Rattus norvegicus: one gene and its partners. The main gene of each other region encodes a partner of the protein of the gene in region 4 in a complex. Links are inferred from orthologs where the notes say so. Each region holds a gene or a part of one and is shown on either strand. Other genes may lie near its edges.

What was found.
Region 1: Pfdn6 (region 4) and Ruvbl1 share a complex: the UniProt entries of both Homo sapiens proteins name them as parts of the PAQosome complex. The link is inferred for Rattus norvegicus from reciprocal best matches to the Homo sapiens genes PFDN6 and RUVBL1.
Region 2: Pfdn6 (region 4) and Asdurf share a complex: the UniProt entries of both Homo sapiens proteins name them as parts of the PAQosome complex. The link is inferred for Rattus norvegicus from reciprocal best matches to the Homo sapiens genes PFDN6 and ASDURF.
Region 3: Pfdn6 (region 4) and Pfdn2 share a complex: the UniProt entries of both Homo sapiens proteins name them as parts of the PAQosome complex. The link is inferred for Rattus norvegicus from reciprocal best matches to the Homo sapiens genes PFDN6 and PFDN2.

The regions. Positions count from the first base shown.
Region 1 is NC_086022.1:122,488,491-122,492,557, forward strand, and holds the start of Ruvbl1 (ruvB-like 1), read left to right. Parts: upstream 1-1,263; 5' UTR 1,264-1,293; coding exon 1,294-1,434; intron 1,435-2,518; exon of another isoform or gene 2,519-2,597; coding exon of another isoform or gene 2,598-2,975; exon of another isoform or gene 2,976-3,037; intron 3,038-3,888; coding exon 3,889-3,975; intron 3,976-4,067. Other genes in the region: Rps25l3 (small ribosomal subunit protein eS25-like), read right to left, coding at 2,598-2,975. UniProt on the Homo sapiens protein: Possesses single-stranded DNA-stimulated ATPase and ATP-dependent DNA helicase (3' to 5') activity; hexamerization is thought to be critical for ATP hydrolysis and adjacent subunits in the ring-like structure contribute to the ATPase activity.
Region 2 is NC_086027.1:55,617,386-55,621,602, reverse strand, and holds the start of Asdurf (ASNSD1 upstream open reading frame protein), read right to left. Parts: upstream 2,805-4,217; 5' UTR 2,748-2,804; coding exon 2,658-2,747; intron 1,070-2,657; coding exon 1,016-1,069; intron 1-1,015.
Region 3 is NC_086031.1:86,304,570-86,308,631, reverse strand, and holds the start of Pfdn2 (prefoldin subunit 2), read right to left. Parts: upstream 2,805-4,062; 5' UTR 2,795-2,804; coding exon 2,720-2,794; intron 1-2,719. Other genes in the region: Nit1 (deaminated glutathione amidase), read left to right, coding at 2,937-2,938, 3,506-3,601, 3,998-4,062. UniProt on the Homo sapiens protein: Binds specifically to cytosolic chaperonin (c-CPN) and transfers target proteins to it. Binds to nascent polypeptide chain and promotes folding in an environment in which there are many competing pathways for nonnative proteins.
Region 4 is NC_086038.1:4,946,380-4,949,819, reverse strand, and holds Pfdn6 (prefoldin subunit 6), read right to left. Parts: upstream 1,977-3,440; 5' UTR 1,745-1,976; coding exon 1,681-1,744; intron 1,474-1,680; coding exon 1,403-1,473; intron 1,312-1,402; coding exon 1,187-1,311; intron 707-1,186; coding exon 583-706; 3' UTR 502-582; downstream 1-501. Other genes in the region: Wdr46 (WD repeat-containing protein 46), read left to right, coding at 2,368-2,436, 2,515-2,721, 2,823-2,903, 3,010-3,122, 3,250-3,337, 3,422-3,440. UniProt on the Homo sapiens protein: Binds specifically to cytosolic chaperonin (c-CPN) and transfers target proteins to it. Binds to nascent polypeptide chain and promotes folding in an environment in which there are many competing pathways for nonnative proteins.

The sequences.
Region 1 (4,067 bases), on a different chromosome or scaffold from region 4:
ACCTGTGGGCAAAACACCCATATGGATAGATTACAAAAATGAAAAGACTTGGCACTCCCTGGAACTTGTCTAGCAATCTCTGCCTTTGGTTTCTCGGCTGCCTGTCACTTGTCACTTCTGTTCCCAGTCACTCTAGAACTCACTAGCTGCCTTTTATCACTGTCTTCACTGCTATAGCCACTCGGCATGTCTTCATATTACCAGCTCAGTCCACCATACTATTAATCCAGGTGGATAGACCACTGGAGAAATCTTACAATGGGACTAATGTTACAACACAACTGTACATTGTACAGCACAGGAGGGTGTCTCCTGGCTGACTTAAAAGTGAGGGGCACCTGCTTAGAATGCCAGAATGTCAGAGGGTAAACAAGAATGTTTGCTGTCCTTAGTACAGCCCTCCATGCAAATGAAGCATTAAATTTACACTATGGTACAGTGGGTTGTGGAAATGGACTACCATGTTTGCACCAATAACCAAACAGTTGCTTATTCAAATAAAGGGCCATGTTTCTTCACAAGTCACAGGCAGTTTTTGTTTGGCTACCTGGAGAACTGTACCCACTCAAGACAGGTGAAAATGGCTGGTCAGAGTATGGTGGCAGCACCTTTAATCCCAGCAACTCAGGAGGCAGAGACACCTTCTCTTCTTTTTTAAAAGTTTCTTGGGCATGTGATGATCAAAATCATGACATAAAGTGTTTGAAAAGTTTGGGCTGGAATAGTGCCTTCAGGATCTAGTGTATTCTGGAAAAAATGGGCTGGAAAAGAGTGGTTGGCTGGGCAGCTTCCTCAGGGCATCCTTGGGGTGTCTAAATTAGGTGTGAGTGGGAGAACTTTGGGCAGCTGCTTCGTTGATAGTTCTCTCAGGACATCCAAGCACCTGGGAAAGGTCTAATAATTGTCAGTGAAGGAGTCAACTCACCCTGGCATAAACATCTTATACTAAAGAAAAAAAGCATTAAAAGAGGAGTTTATAATTAAAAACCTGCCATTCACATTAATAGCGCTTAAGAATCTGACGGTTCCCAGTCAAACCTGGCCAGGGCAGGAAATGCCTGCCCTGGGGGAACCTAACCTGTGACACAGACGGAAGTTGGTGGGTGAAACTCAGCCGCCGACAAGCGTAGCTTGTAGCCAATAGAAAACGAAGTCTTTTCGCTTCAACCAATGGCGTACTAATAAGGGCGGGTCCTGGAGAGCGGCCTAGTAACGGCCGCGTGGTAACCCAGGCGCCTGGCGTGCCGTAGTTCCTAGTCTCCACGCAGGTTGTGGCTGCACACACTCGTCAAAATGAAGATTGAGGAGGTGAAGAGCACCACGAAGACGCAACGCATTGCCTCCCACAGCCACGTGAAGGGGCTGGGGCTGGATGAGAGCGGCCTGGCCAAGCAGGCGGCTTCGGGGCTCGTGGGCCAGGAGAACGCGAGAGAGGTGGGCGTGGGGCGTGTGCACGCGGTGTGGGCGGCGGGACCAGGTCTCACTAAGATTTGTCTGAGAAGTGAGGATCACATTAGCCAGCAAGGGTCACGGCAGGCAAATTAGGCCTCACCGGAAACACAGTGGAAAGCTGTGGGATTAAATGTAGAATTGACTAAATTTTCGGAGTTGATATGGGTTCTTTAGGCCTGGGAGCTGATCTGTTAAGTGGAGCGGTGAGGAGGAACACTATGACCTATTCCCCATCCAAGCACTCTAGCTTTTCCAGTTCAGTCTTCTTAAAGTCATTGGAAGTTATGCCAGGTCTTTCGATCGGTTCTGTTTTGCACACGAAGAAATTAAAGGTGGGCCAGGTCGCTTAACCACCTGCCAGTTCAGCAGTAATGAGGCTGGTATTCTCCCGACCCCACCCCAAATGATTACTCTTCCCATTTCCTCAGACTGCTCCACTTTGATCCCTGCAGAGACTCAGTATCTACAAAAACTTGCTGTTTATATGTGGTGAAGACTGCTTTCCCAGCCTCAAGAGCATCATCTATCCAAAAGGGAAACGTTTGACCCTAGCTCACTTGCATCTTTTTTTGCAAGCAATAGTTTAATGCTTTCTATTTGTCAGGCGGCTTTATTGTCTGTTATTTCATTTCTGTCTAATAAACCTCACTTTGGTCTGATGTTTCTAAGCACACAGAAACATTGACATGTTTGCACATTAAATCCCAGTGTGCCAAAATTCTACAGTTAACATTTTACAGTGATGCTTTATGGTATATCTGTTCATGTATGTCTACCGTCACAAGTCAGAGTAAACTGTGGACATCAGCCCACTTTGCACATAAGCCCTTCCTTGTGGGTACAGTTGTTTTGAACACTCGGAGTCAGATGAGTAATAGGTGTTAGGTAAAATAAATCTGAGGACACTCACCTCAAGTGAAATGGCCAGGATAGATACTGGATTGTATGTGACTTCAGAGTCTGTTCTAGACCTGCCTCTGCACTGGGTTCTTGTTTGGCCAATCACGCTAGCAGCCTCCCTGGTACTCAGTATCTTCACCCTTATTATTATTGTCATTAGCTGGTATTTATTTATTTTTTTTATTTTTTATTTTTTTGATTCAATAAAGTTTTATTTTCCCAAATGTACAGCTGATTCAATCTGTTTATGCATCTTCACCAGCAGCTGGGGCATCTCCACCCTTTGTGTTTCTGGTGTAAATTACTTGGGCTCTGTGCTTTGAAACCAGCTTGATAAGTCCTTTACTAAGTAGCTCCTGAAGGGCTGCCCTGGCCAAGGAACCTCGAATCTTCAGTCTCTCGGAGACCACAGCTGGAGTAATAAGCTTATAGTTGGGAACTTCCTTACAAAGTTTGTCGTAAGTAGCTTTGTCAAACAGGATGAGATTGTTCAGCTTGTCCCGAACTTTGCCTTTGGACCACTTCTTCTTTTTGGCCTTGCCACCAGATTTATTTACTGGGTCCTTGTCTTTTTTGGCCGACTTTCCGGCATCCTTCTTCTTCTTGTCGTCTTTGGGCAGCATGGCGAAACTCAGAGAGTAGTGTGGACCACTGCAGCCACACTCTGGTATTTATTTTTGTATGTTTGTTTTCACGACAGGGTCTCACTTTTAGCTCTGGCTGTCCTGAGACTCTGTAGACCCTGCTGGCCTTGAGTTCACAGGGATCCATCCGCCTCTGCCTCCTGAGTGCTGAGATTAAAGGCGTGGGCCTTTACTATGCACCTGGCTTCCTTAGCTGGTATCTCTTTCTTTTCCTATTTGACACAATGTGTGCGTAGGCTGTGCAGTTATAGGCCTGCCATGGTGTTTGGGTAGAGGTCAGAGGTTCCTCCTTCCATTGTGGGATCCAGGGATTGAACTAAGGTTTACACTGCAGGTGCTTTTTACCCACTGAGCATCTCACCAGCTCTTTCCAACTCTTATTGGTTGGATTCATAGCACACCCTTTTTGTTTAGATAATGTTGCCGTAGCCAAACTGGCCTGGAATGCACAGCCCTGCTGCTTTTGTTAAGTACTAGGTCTGTGTTGGCTCCTGCCTGCCTCAACCTCCCCTTTCCCTTCTGTTCACTATACTTTGGTAGCTGCAGCATGTTGACCCTTAGACATATCAAACTTGTACTTTGGTTATTTTCAATTTGCAATTTTTGCCTGAAATGTAGATTTCTGCCCGGGGCTTCAAATGTTACATACAAGGTTATGAGAAAGCCCCCTCCGCCCCAGCTCTCCCTAGCTGCTCAGTGTCTCATTTTGCTTCTCTCTTTGTGGGAGCCATCATATGGCATGAGCTAGAGCACGTGGCTCACCCCCACCGCTCCACCCCACAGCAGTGGTGTCCTGTCAGAAGAGCATCGGAACTGTGTGGACCAAGCCCTGAACTGTTTCTACCATGAAGCATTTTAAGATTGACTGATTGTTTCTTTCTGTTTTGTGCAGGCATGTGGTGTCATAGTCGAATTAATCAAAAGCAAGAAAATGGCTGGAAGAGCTGTCTTGTTGGCAGGGCCTCCTGGAACTGGCAAGGTATTCATTCATTTTCTCTCTCTCTTTTTTTTTTTTTTCCTTTTCTTTCCCTTTTTTTCTGGAGCTGGGGACCGAACCCAGGGCCTTGCGCT
Region 2 (4,217 bases), on a different chromosome or scaffold from region 4:
AAGTCTGTATTCTGCTTTCTCCTGTGTTGTGCTATGAGAGCACCTACTATGTCACAGTCCATTCACTCCATCATACAGCACCAATATTCCTAGCCACCCATGAGTGGTGTCCCAGGGTCATGACAATCATGTCCTTGCACTGAAAGTCCATGCTTCAGGCCGCAGTACCCATGACATGCTAATAAAAAAGAAGAATGCGACTTGCACAGTGATGTTGAACAGGATCCTCTTATCACCCACTCTTGAACTTCAGGAATATTCAGAAGAGTGATTACCACAGATAAACAAAGTCACTGATCACTATGCCACCCAGAGACGGTTGTTTGCTTCACATGTGTCATCACACCATAGTCTTTCAAATAACAAAGGCTATCACAGCAACAGGTTTATAATTTAGTTCATAAACGAATAATACATGGAGATCTTTTCTGACCAAGGAAGGTTCTTTTATATCACCACATTGGTACAATGTATAGTTCTTTACTGCCTTCAAGCTCAGTCATTTACTGTTCTGTCAACTCTTCACTACAGATGCTGGCAAGTACCTTTGCAGGTAAACACGCATTCATCCTCACAACTGCTTCCACACCGGTTACTCTGAAGTGTCATACAGCATTTACTCATTTTGCCAGTTTGATCTCCAAAAATTTCTGTATTAATTTGCCCTAGCATCTAATATTTCACAAATGACAATATCAGAAATGTCGATTATTAGTTAATTGTAGCTGATTTATTAACACATTTATTTAAAAGCCATGAAATGGGTTAAGTATTTGGAATATTAAAGTTTTCTATGGAAAACTTCATTCTTTTTTGTTAAAATATAATTTTTTCATCTTTGAGATCTACTGACTTATACAGGAAGAACAAATTTAAAACATGCAAAACCAAATGAGGATATCACTTTAGTTTTTAAATTACGATGTTTGAATTTTGCAATGTTAGCATAAATAATCTAAATCATAATTTTAATATTATATATATATATACTATTCAGATTCCCACAGCAACTTACCCGATTCTTCTTCAGGTTAGAAAGTTCATCCACAATAACTTTCTGTTCTTTAATCTATTAAAGTAAAGAAAAAAACCTAAAGTGGAAGTTTTCAAACTATGTTTAGTGAGCACATTTTTAGCAACTGCTTTAAAACAAAACATGGGACTGGGGCCTGTCATGGACTGCCTGTCTAAATGGATACTGTACAGATGCAACCACACTCAGGCTGGAACCAGTAGAAGACAGCTGGAGAAAGAAGCTGACTTAGACTTGCCAGGCGCCAGTTACCACAGCTCACATCTTTAACCAGGGTGAGACACTGTCTAGCCAAATTAATACCAATCTTTTAATTTTATAAGGCCTGGCTGTAGACTAAAAAAGAGAAATGAATGTGGCTTCTCCTCTTTACCAATAGCCAGTGGTTTTATGATGTATGCACTGGATGACAGCCAGACATTCGGATAAAATGAACGGAACGGTACTGAACGAACGCCCTTCCTGCAGTGGTACAACATCATCTCCCACCCTTGTATCATTCTATTTTGAGTATTAAGGACAGCATACTGCTGGTATCCTTAAGCTCAGTTTGTTCCTTATCATCAGATGAAATGCCCAAATAGGCAATAAGTCTACACTGACACAGCTACACAGTGCCAAGAGGCTTGCTATGGCAGTAGCCAGAGTATTCTGAAAACTCATCCCCACCCAAATGAGTGTGCATGGGCAGTGCTAAGAGCTGTACTAACATACGACAAAGCTACATTGAGTACACCCTCCCTGAGATTCAAGGCTGCTTGTACAGCGCTTTTATGCTCACTACAAACGACAGGTATATAATATATCTCACTTTAGGTGACACCACAGAATACTGTGGCACACTGGAAATAAGGCAATGTACTGAAGATGTCATACAGGACAGAAAAAAAATATGGAATTCAGGATGTTTAATAACTGAAAAGGCTGCACCCACACCCCCTCCAATCCACACGTTTAAAGATTTTTGTCTGTAACTGGAAGTTGAGATCACTGTACAGTTCAGGTATGGGGTTGCCTCCCTGAAATCCTGACTATTAGGCAAGAGAATAATTCAAGGTGATCCTCAAACAATATTTGAGGCTGGCCTGAGCTACTTATGAAACCCTATCCCAAAAAGAGGAAGGGAAAAAATTAATCTGCTACAGTCCTGGTTGAATAATAAAGAGATGACCAAACTGATGTTTTTAGGATCACTTAAAGGTGAGAATATATTTTAAGGTCAACAGGCAACTGATAACTTCGGTTAAGAAAATTTTGCCTGAGTCTGGAAGAACGGGCAGATTTCTAAACTTTCATGATGGACGTCATGGATGGCGTCCAGGCGGGTACATGGCTAAATGGATGAAGCACAGCCAACGAGCAACAGATCACATGTGTGAAGGGTTCCGAGAGGAGAGTGGTGCAAACGCGTAAAGGAAAAACGTCATTAAGACCTCTGTCTCAGTATCACTGTTGTTTGCAGTGGATAAATCTGTGCCTCCATCATAGCAAATCTGCAGGACGCAGGGGAAACCAGCGGCCGGTGCTGAGAATGGACCGGTGAGGCTACTGGGCACCGATGCGACCGCGGGACCCGTTTCCCGCCGCCCGCCGCCCACCGCCCATCCTCGGCGTCCCACGGCACCTTACTGCTAAGGGCCTCGGCGTGCGCGGTCGATGTGCGGGTGGGTCCCGGCGCGGCGCTGTCTCCGGGGTGCTCCGCACCGCTAGGCATCGCCACGCCGCACCGAACGGAGGAACCGCGGTGGATGAAACAGCAGGCGGCAGGCCCAACCGGAAGCCAGTGTTCCTTTCAGGACCCTGCCCCTTCCGGAACCTCGACCAATGGAGTGCGCATATTTACGCCTGCTCAGTAGCAGGCGTGGATACTAGATCCTGGAACTCCGACTTTAAGTAGCTGTGCATCAGCGCACATTAGTTTTGGCTAAAGGTTCGTCTGGCTTGGCTGGAGAGTCTATGAATGGTCTGTGTTGCCCCCTAGCGGATGCTATGTAAAAATAAATCACTAATCAGTAGTGTGCCTAACACTGTGGTCTTGGCTTTTTTTTTTTAATTTTTTAAATTGGATATTTTTATTTACATTTCAAATGTTATTCCCCTTTCCGGTTTCCCATTCATAAACACCGTATCCCATCCCCACTTCCCCTTCTTCTATGAAGGTGTTCCCCGTCCCCAACCACCAACCGCTTCCCACCTCCCCACCCTGACATTCCCCAACAATGAGGATCCAGCCTTGGTAAGACCAAGGACTTTTCCTCCCCTTAGTGCCCAACAAGGCCATACTCTGCTACATATGCAGCTGTAGCCATGGGTTTGTCCATGTATATAGTCTTTGGATGGTGATTTAGTCCCTGGAGCTCTGGTTGGTTGGTATTGTTGTTCTTATGGGGTTGCAAGCTCCTTCACCTCCTTCAATCCTTTCTCTAACTCCTCCAATGGTACCCCGTTCTCAGTTCAATGGTTTGCTGCTAGCATTTGCCTGTGTATTTGTAATGCTCTGACTGAGCCTCTCAGGAGACAGCTGTATCAGGCTCCTGTCAGCATGCACTTCTGGGCATCAGAAATATTGTATGTTTATGGGCTGGAACCTCAGGTAGGGCAGGTTCTGAATGGCAATTCCTTCAGTCTCTGTTCCAAGCTTTGTCTCCATATCTCCTCCTATGAATATTTTTACTCCCCCTTTTAAGAAGAACTGAAGCATCCACAGTTTGGTCGTCCTTCTTAAGCTTCATGTGGTCTGTGGATTGGATCTTGGGTAATTCGAGATTTTTGGCTAATATCCACTATCAGTGAGTGTGCATACCATGTGGTTTTTTTTTTTTTGTTTTTTTGTTTTTTGTTTTTTTTTTTGTGATTGGGTTACCTCACTAGGGATGATATTTTCTAGTTCCATCGATTTGCCTATGGATTTCATGAAGTCATTATTTTTGTAGAAATATACCACATTTTATATCCATCCTCTGTTGAGGGTTATTTGATTCTTTCCAGCTTCTGGCTATTATAAATAAGGCTACTGTGAACATAGTGGAGCATGTGTCCTTGTTATACGTTAGAGCATCTTTTGGGTATATGCCCAGGAGTGGTATAACTGGGTCCTAAGATAGTACTACTTCCAATTTTCTGAGGAACCTCCAGATTGATTTCCAGAGTGGCTGTACCAGCTTGCAAACCCACCAACAATGGA
Region 3 (4,062 bases), on a different chromosome or scaffold from region 4:
AATTGGGAAGAAAAGTTCCACAGGTAAAGAACCAAAGAACCAGAGTTTGAGAACTTGGGGGGTGGGGGAGGTATGGTATTGAGGCATGAACTGCCTGGCAATGGAATGCTAGGGAACTTAAATTCTGAGGCTTGTTATCCAAGTGCTGGGGAAGAGAGGGTCAATGGACTCTCTGGCCAGCCATCCTAGCCTGGCTGGTGAGTTCTAGGCCACATGAAAAAAACTTGTGTCAAAGAACAACAAGGCTGACTGTGTCTTCTTCAAGTCTTGCAATACAGCTCTTTTAAATCTTCCAGCATTTCCAAGGCCGGGCAGTTCATGGCTCAAGGCTTATGAACACATTTCTTCTAACGAAAAAAAAAAATCCTCACATTGACTAACTTTCCTCAGCCTTTAGAATTAAGCTGAAGAATCCTCTAGAAAATAAAAACAAATTAGCATTTAGAAAGATTGTTCAGATCATGTGCATGTATGTATGTGTTTGTGTGAGATGAGGTGCTCAAGTGCAGAAGCCATCTCTCCACCCCTAACTAGCATTTAGTCAACACACTCTGTAGTCTCTGTTTTTTAGTCATGGTGATGGGGGGGGAGGGTGTCGAATGAATTTTCTTGCCTAGTACACTAAATAGTTATGAAATGGGAAGTACATGTTTTCACAGATAGAGGAGGGTAAAAAGTAAGAAGAGAAATCATGTGCAGAAGTTTTTGGTGTAAGGACTGGAGCAATGGCTCGGTGGAAGAACTGTTACTTCTATAGCAGAAGGCCTGGGTTTGGTTCTCAAGACCCACATGGTAGCTAATAAGCAGTTATCAGGGGCTTGGACCCCTCTTCTGGCCTCCAATGGCTCCTGCACAGGTGTGGTACATGCACACACTCAGACATGCAAATATACATAACATATTTTTGAAGTCTCGTTGTTTCATTTTTATTTGCCATTCTGTCTGTCTTGTTTGTTTTTGAGATTGTGTTTCACTCTGTAACCTAGGCTAGCCTGGAACTGAGAGGGTAACCCATTGGGATTATGGGTATGAGCCATCACACTTGGCTGTGTCCAAATTTAAGATAAAGTCTATTTCACTTACCTGTTTCTCTGTGTTAAGCAAAGTATAACACAAGACAGACTCTCAAAAGCTTTACTTTTTTTCTTTCCCACTGTCAAGGTGCCTCTTCCATCCCCAGAATGTCACTTCTCTTTGAATACTTACTTTCCGACTCATAGTAGAACTGTAAACCCCACTTCAACAGACGATGCTCTCCAACAGTATGGGTTTTAAACTATTTCTGCTGATACTTTTTTTTAAAGATGTATTTATTTATTATATATAAGTACACTGTAGCTATCCTCAGACACACCAGAAGGCATCAGATCTCATTACAGATGGTTGGGAGTCACCATGTGGTTTCTGGGATTTGAACCCAGGACCCATGGAAGAGCAGTCAGTGCTCTTAACGGCTGAGCCACCACTCCAGTCCCTATGCTGATACTTTTACCTGCAGTGATTGCTCAACAAGCAACTGACAAATATATGATTAAAATAGCTCTTCAATCCCAACCCTGGACCTCCATACCAGGTGAGAACAGACACCCACCCAGACCCCACACCTCAAGGCTTTCCCATTTAACCCACCAAACTACACCCCTAGCTTCAACTATTTTCATTTCGATTGTGTGTTCTTCTTCTTCTTTTTTTTTTTTTTTTTTGGTTCTTTTTTTCGGAGCTGGGGACCGAACCCAGGGCCTTGCGCTTCCTAGGCAAGCGCTCTACCACTGAGCTAAACTAAATCCCCAACCCCAATTGTGTGTTCTTCTAATATCAATTAAACACTAGTCCCAAGACTAACAAAACATGGTCCCTATACCACAAAGGGCTTTCTGATTAATTCGTCAGATGTATCCCGATGTTATGAAGAGCAGAATCACACCTGCATTAGAAAATGGTTTCTAGCCTCTTCTGAAAACTTAAGTCTCTGCAGAAGGGAGCATAGAGAGTGAGCTGGACCATGTCTCAAAAAACGAAAACAACCCGAGCCAGGAATAGTAGTCCCAGATAATCCCAGTATTTGGGAGGCAGAAACAAGCGAATCTCTGTGAGTTCCAGGCCAGCTTGGTCTACATAGTGAATTCCAGAAAAGCAAGGCTACATAGAGCGACCCAGCCCGACCCTATAGCAACCCTCATCCCCACCCCAAGACAAAACAAAAACAAAACAAAACAAGAAAATAACTAAGCCACAGTCTCCTTAGTCCAAATAGTTACTGAACACTAAACTGGTCAGAGTCTGAGTCACGTGGCTCTGCAGCGTGTTTGTGATGGTGAACACGGTTTTGGAGTCAAAGACTAAATAACCCACTCACTGACTAAGAACAGCCTGGGATTCGTTACTAGATGACACTTCAAACACCATATTCTCTTTAGGGTACCTCGTAGAGGGGGAGACGACGATCCATGTCCTTAGGGACCTGGACAACCCTCCCAGATCCTGCATCTAAGAGCTTTCTCTCTCGACTACCCACCCACACCCCGGGCGTGCCTCTCACCTACCTACCCCACCTACTCACGCCCTAGAAAGGATTGTGATCACCCCCAAAAACGCCCTCTCCCCTGTGCGTGACCACGGAGAACGTGGGAAGGACTAAAGGCCCCTCTGAATCACAAGTCCTTTTCCTTGCACGAACTCGACACCGACCCAGGTGCCTTCTACGCTCGCGGTTCCTCACCTGTTCCGCCGACACCGCCCCCTTCCCCGTGCCACTCCCGCCGCTCTTGCCCACACGACCGCTGCTGTCCGCCATCTTCCCCACCTGCAAGCTTTCCGGCCTGCGCACTCCCACTGCGTCACATCCGCTCTAGTGGTTACCGCCCACTTGCTCCTGCGCTTCTGGCTTCTGGCAGCTCTTCAGATCCGACCCTGCGAATGGTTTTGGCTGTGTCTTCATGTAGGACCTACTCCCCAACCCTGCCTGCTGCGGTGAATTCCACCTGCTATGCTTTAACTTGTGCAACAGAGATTCTTGCCCCGGGGAGAGCCGGGGAAGGACGCGCTAATCAGAGGGCGGGGGCTCGGGTTGGGATCTGATCTTGTACCCATCTACCTACCCACCACGAGAATGGTGGAGATCTAAGGAGGGTGAACTTTCCTTCTGAGATTCTGGTACAAGGGGAAAGATACATGTTGAGTCTATAAAGCTGTCCAGGTGGCACAGCCGAGAAGAGAGAATTGGGGAAACGAGGAAGGTTCCATGAGATGACTTGAACTGCGGAAACGTTTGGCAGAGGAAAAGGGCTTCAGTTTTAATGTGAGATCACTGGAAGTTGAGGTATTAAGGCACCGATCATAGTGTCCTCTTCCATTTTCCCATTTTATGATCTCATAACTACTAGTAGTAAAGTGTTTTCGAAGCCTTGGGGGAGGGGATTACTGGCCAGGTCTGGAAATGGCAGAGAATTCTAGAAACTTACAGCTTGAAGGAGGGTTAGGTGTCCTGATTTTTCACCTTCTTCAGGCTGGGCTTCATCACCAGGCCTCCTCATCAACTCCTGTCCCTTCTGTGTACCGGATACCGATTACCTCAAATCTCAGTACTTTGTACTCAGCCCAGGTAACATATTTTATGTTCTTTGTCTAGCACGTAGTTGCTAAGTCCATGTTTATTAACCGAATAGTGGACCTGCCATCCACCAAACATTTAATGCGTGTACTCCAGTAGCTTAGGGTTATTTAATGCTCTGGAAGAATGAAAACAAGTCGCTAGGGTTGGTGGGACACACCTCTAATCCCAGCACTCGGGAAACAGGCAGGAGGATCAACTAGGAGTTTAAGATCATCCCCGCTACATAGAAAGGTCTGCCTGGGCTACAAAAAGACCCGGTCTCAAAGGGGAGGTAAAATCAGAAAAAAAAAAAGTAAGTTTCCGGCTCCACCCCCACTTGAGCCTCCCAAGTTTCTCCGCGGCACGCGGTAGAAATCCTGAGAAAACTGCCTGTGTCATTCACAGGCCCAGAGCCATGGCAGAGTCCTCATCGACTTCCTGGGAGCTGCCCCTGGTGGCTGTGTGCCAGG
Region 4 (3,440 bases):
ATCCTAAGAAGACAGAGGAAATCAGGTAACCTAGGGCTGCTCCGGGACAAGTGTTCACAGCGAATGACCGGGTCATATCCTGGGCTCTCAGGCCAGAGAACTGAGTTCTGTGGCAATGACATGCTGTGCTGTAGACAGTGTCTACTCCGGTGTCCCCGGGTTGCGCCCACCAACATAAGGGAAGCCAAAGGGTTGTATATATGAGCAAGAAATAGTAGGGGTTGGGGATTTAGCTCAGTGGTAGAGCACTTGCCTAGCAAGCGCAAGGCCCTGGGTTCGGTCCCCAGCTCCGAAAAAAAAGAAAAAAAAAAAAAAAAGAAATAGCTTGAGACATTTCAGACTCAAGTTTTGAAACTGAGGGCACACAGGCAACACCCTAGGTTCAGTTCTCAGCCACGGGAGAATCCAGCTAGAGATTTCAGTCACAGGAATGTGAGTCCCGGAGGTGTAAAGCGTACAGAGAAGTTAAGGACTGTGAATAAAGACTGGCTAGAAAGAAAGTAGGTTTGGTTCTGTTTACATTTTATTGACTCAGGGTTAGCCTCATCCCTCCCTCCCCAGCCCCCTCCCCCTCCCACGGGGTCAGGCTTTCCCGGGAGCCTTTGCGTTCTGGGCCCGCTGGAACTCCTGCTGCAACTGAGCAAGGGTTTCCCTCTGTTGCTCTGACTGCCTTTCGAGGTCCCGAAGCTGCGATTCGTAGCGCTTACTGAGAAGGAAAAGAGAGGCAGGCAGAAAGGAGAAATCAGTGAGGGCTCAACGTTCTGGAATAAAGGGAAACTGGTGGAACATTTGAGGTTTGTGGGACAGAAAGCGGGGAGGGCGCTAAGGGGAAGAACTGGCTGGTGAGATGGATCAGTTAGGTAGGGCTGTTGTCCTTCAAGGCTGGCACCTGAATTCAAGCTACAGAAGAACCCTACAGTAGGGAGAACATTCCCACAGGTTATCCTTTGACTAATATGGGCCAGGCCCAAATGTAACACGAAAAGAAAGGCCAGGAATGGTGGCACATGCTTCCATCCCTTGGGAGGCAGCAGCTGGTGCATCTACCACAGGCTAGCACGGTCTACACAGCGAGTTCCAGGGCAGCCACTTTATGGAAGTGGCTAGGCGGGCGTTGCTATAGATATAGAACTATCCAGCACGGGCTCAACATTTCTGCACTGAAAAGGCCAGCTGCTGCACTTACATTTCCGCTGTGATGTAGTCTAGCCTCTTCCCCACTGTGGCCCGAGCCTCCCCCAGCTCCTGTTTGACAAGCACGGGTCCCAGAAGCTTAAAGACCACGTTGGATCCATCCAGCAAGGCCAGTTCCTGAAGAGGGGATGGGGCGGTGTATGACATAACAGTGCCCAGGGAAGTCCCTCCTCGCCCTTCCCCCCCTCCCCCAGCGTCCCACCCTCACCTCCTTCACAATGTTATTTTCCGTTAGCTGGGCTTCAAGCTTCTGCCTCCCTGACATGGATTTACTCAAGTCTGGGATGGTGAGAGGAAATACACGATTAGAAACATCAAATGGGCCCGGAACCGCACAATTCTGGGGAGAATGGTTGCGAGGAAGAAAGAGAGGATACCGAGTTCGCTGCACACAATATCCCCCCTTCCTACCCTCTGATGGGGCACGACGCCTCATCAGAGTTGAGAGTGGACAGGGACAAGACCACACCAGCTCCGCTCTCTTACCCTTCTGCAGCTGTTGATATTTCTCTACCTCTCCCTGCAGCTTCTTTTGGATCAGTTCGGCCATGGTGAAGGAGAAAGCCTCCTGGGCGGGGGTCGCTGGGTCTCAAGCTCTGAAAAGCACCTGAGCTCCCCTTCCTGGCCCTGCAGAAGGACAGCACGAGCTACCGTGGACTCTCTACGTCCAGAATAGTCACTCCCTAGGCATTAGAGAGCGAAAAGAAGAGACACCCCCCTAAATCCAAACCCTAACCTTTTCACGCTCTGCCCTCTGTATTCATAAACCCGGAAATAAACAAGGCATGCCGGGGGAAAAAAGACGGCGCCGGAAGTTACATTCTGACACATGCCGGGACGTGTAGTTCTGACTTGTGTGAGGCTTGTTCTACTTAAAAGACTGGACTCGAGAGATTTTGGGCAAGACAGAGCATTTAATATGGAAAGTAAAAGCTTATCACCACCAGGATTTTGGACCTAGACTTTTTTTAAATCTTTATTTGGTTAGAATTTGCTTTGTTAGCGAGCCTATCCGGCTCTCAGGGGCGTGCCCTCTCTCAACATGGCGCCAGAGGCTTCAGACGCCCTTACGGCGATGATTGGATGAAGTCTCGGGGACTTCCGGAAGTTTCCTCGCAGGCCTTGGGAAGACTGAAAGGAGTTTTGCACGTGGATCGTCGTTCCGTCGTCGGGATGGAGACAGCCCCCAAGCCGGGTAGGGGTGACCCACCCAAGAAAGACAAGCCTCAGGCCAAGAGGAAGGTAGTTTTGGTGGGAGGCGTCCGCGCCCCGGGGCCCGGCTCGGGCTGCGCGTGCGAGGGCTTCTCCTCTGCCCCTTAGAAACCGCGGCGCTACTGGGAGGAGGAGCCCACCCCGTCCGCCGCCGGCGCCTCTCCGGGGCCGCCACGGAAGAAGGCGAGGACTGGGGAGCCGCGACCCCCGAGGTCCCAGAGCGCGCGCATCGCCCAGAAGCCTCGGTTCTCCAAGAAGCCCCCGATCCCAAAGAACGCCTCAGACTGGAAGAAGCCGCAGAGGACCCTGTCTGGGGTGAGCCCGGGATTGACAGGGTGGCGGTGCAGGTCGCCCCCTGAGAACGAGAGGAACCGGGTCCATCAGAACCTGCCTCTTACCTCCCTGCCCCTCGATAGGCTCAGGACCCGTTCCCAGGACCTGTCCCCGCCCCCCTGGAGGTGGCCAGGAAGTTCTGCCGTATTGACAAGTCCAAAAAGGTAAGGAACCGCGGGCGGTGGCGGCTTTTCCAGTGTCTTTCCCAGGACCTCCCCCTCCCCCGCAACATGCTCTTCGGTTCTTCCAACCCTGTCATCAATACCGCAGCTCCCGCATTCGAAGCCTAAAACCCAAAGCCAACTGGAGAAGGCTGAAGCACAGGAGGAAGAGGCGAGCGTCAGAGCTGCCCGCGCTGAGCTGCTGCTTGCAGAGGAACCTGGGTGAGTGGACCCCGACTTGGGTTTTCCCTCGTCCTGTCTTTCTGGAACTTTGTGTTGGTGTTTTTATGTTTGTATGCCCGCTTCCATGGTGGGGAGTGTCACCATCGCCACCCTAACCGCCTTTCAGGTTTCTGGTAGGAGAAGATGGGGAAGACACAGCAAAAATACTGCAGACAGACATCGTGGAGGCTGTGGACATCTCTAGTGCTGCCAAGGTGAGCCCGAGCGGGAAGAGGAGGGGCCCAGGAGACCGGGTGGGGCGAGTTCAGTTTTTCATGGTTAATTTTGACCCTTGCCAGCACTTTGACCTGAATCTGA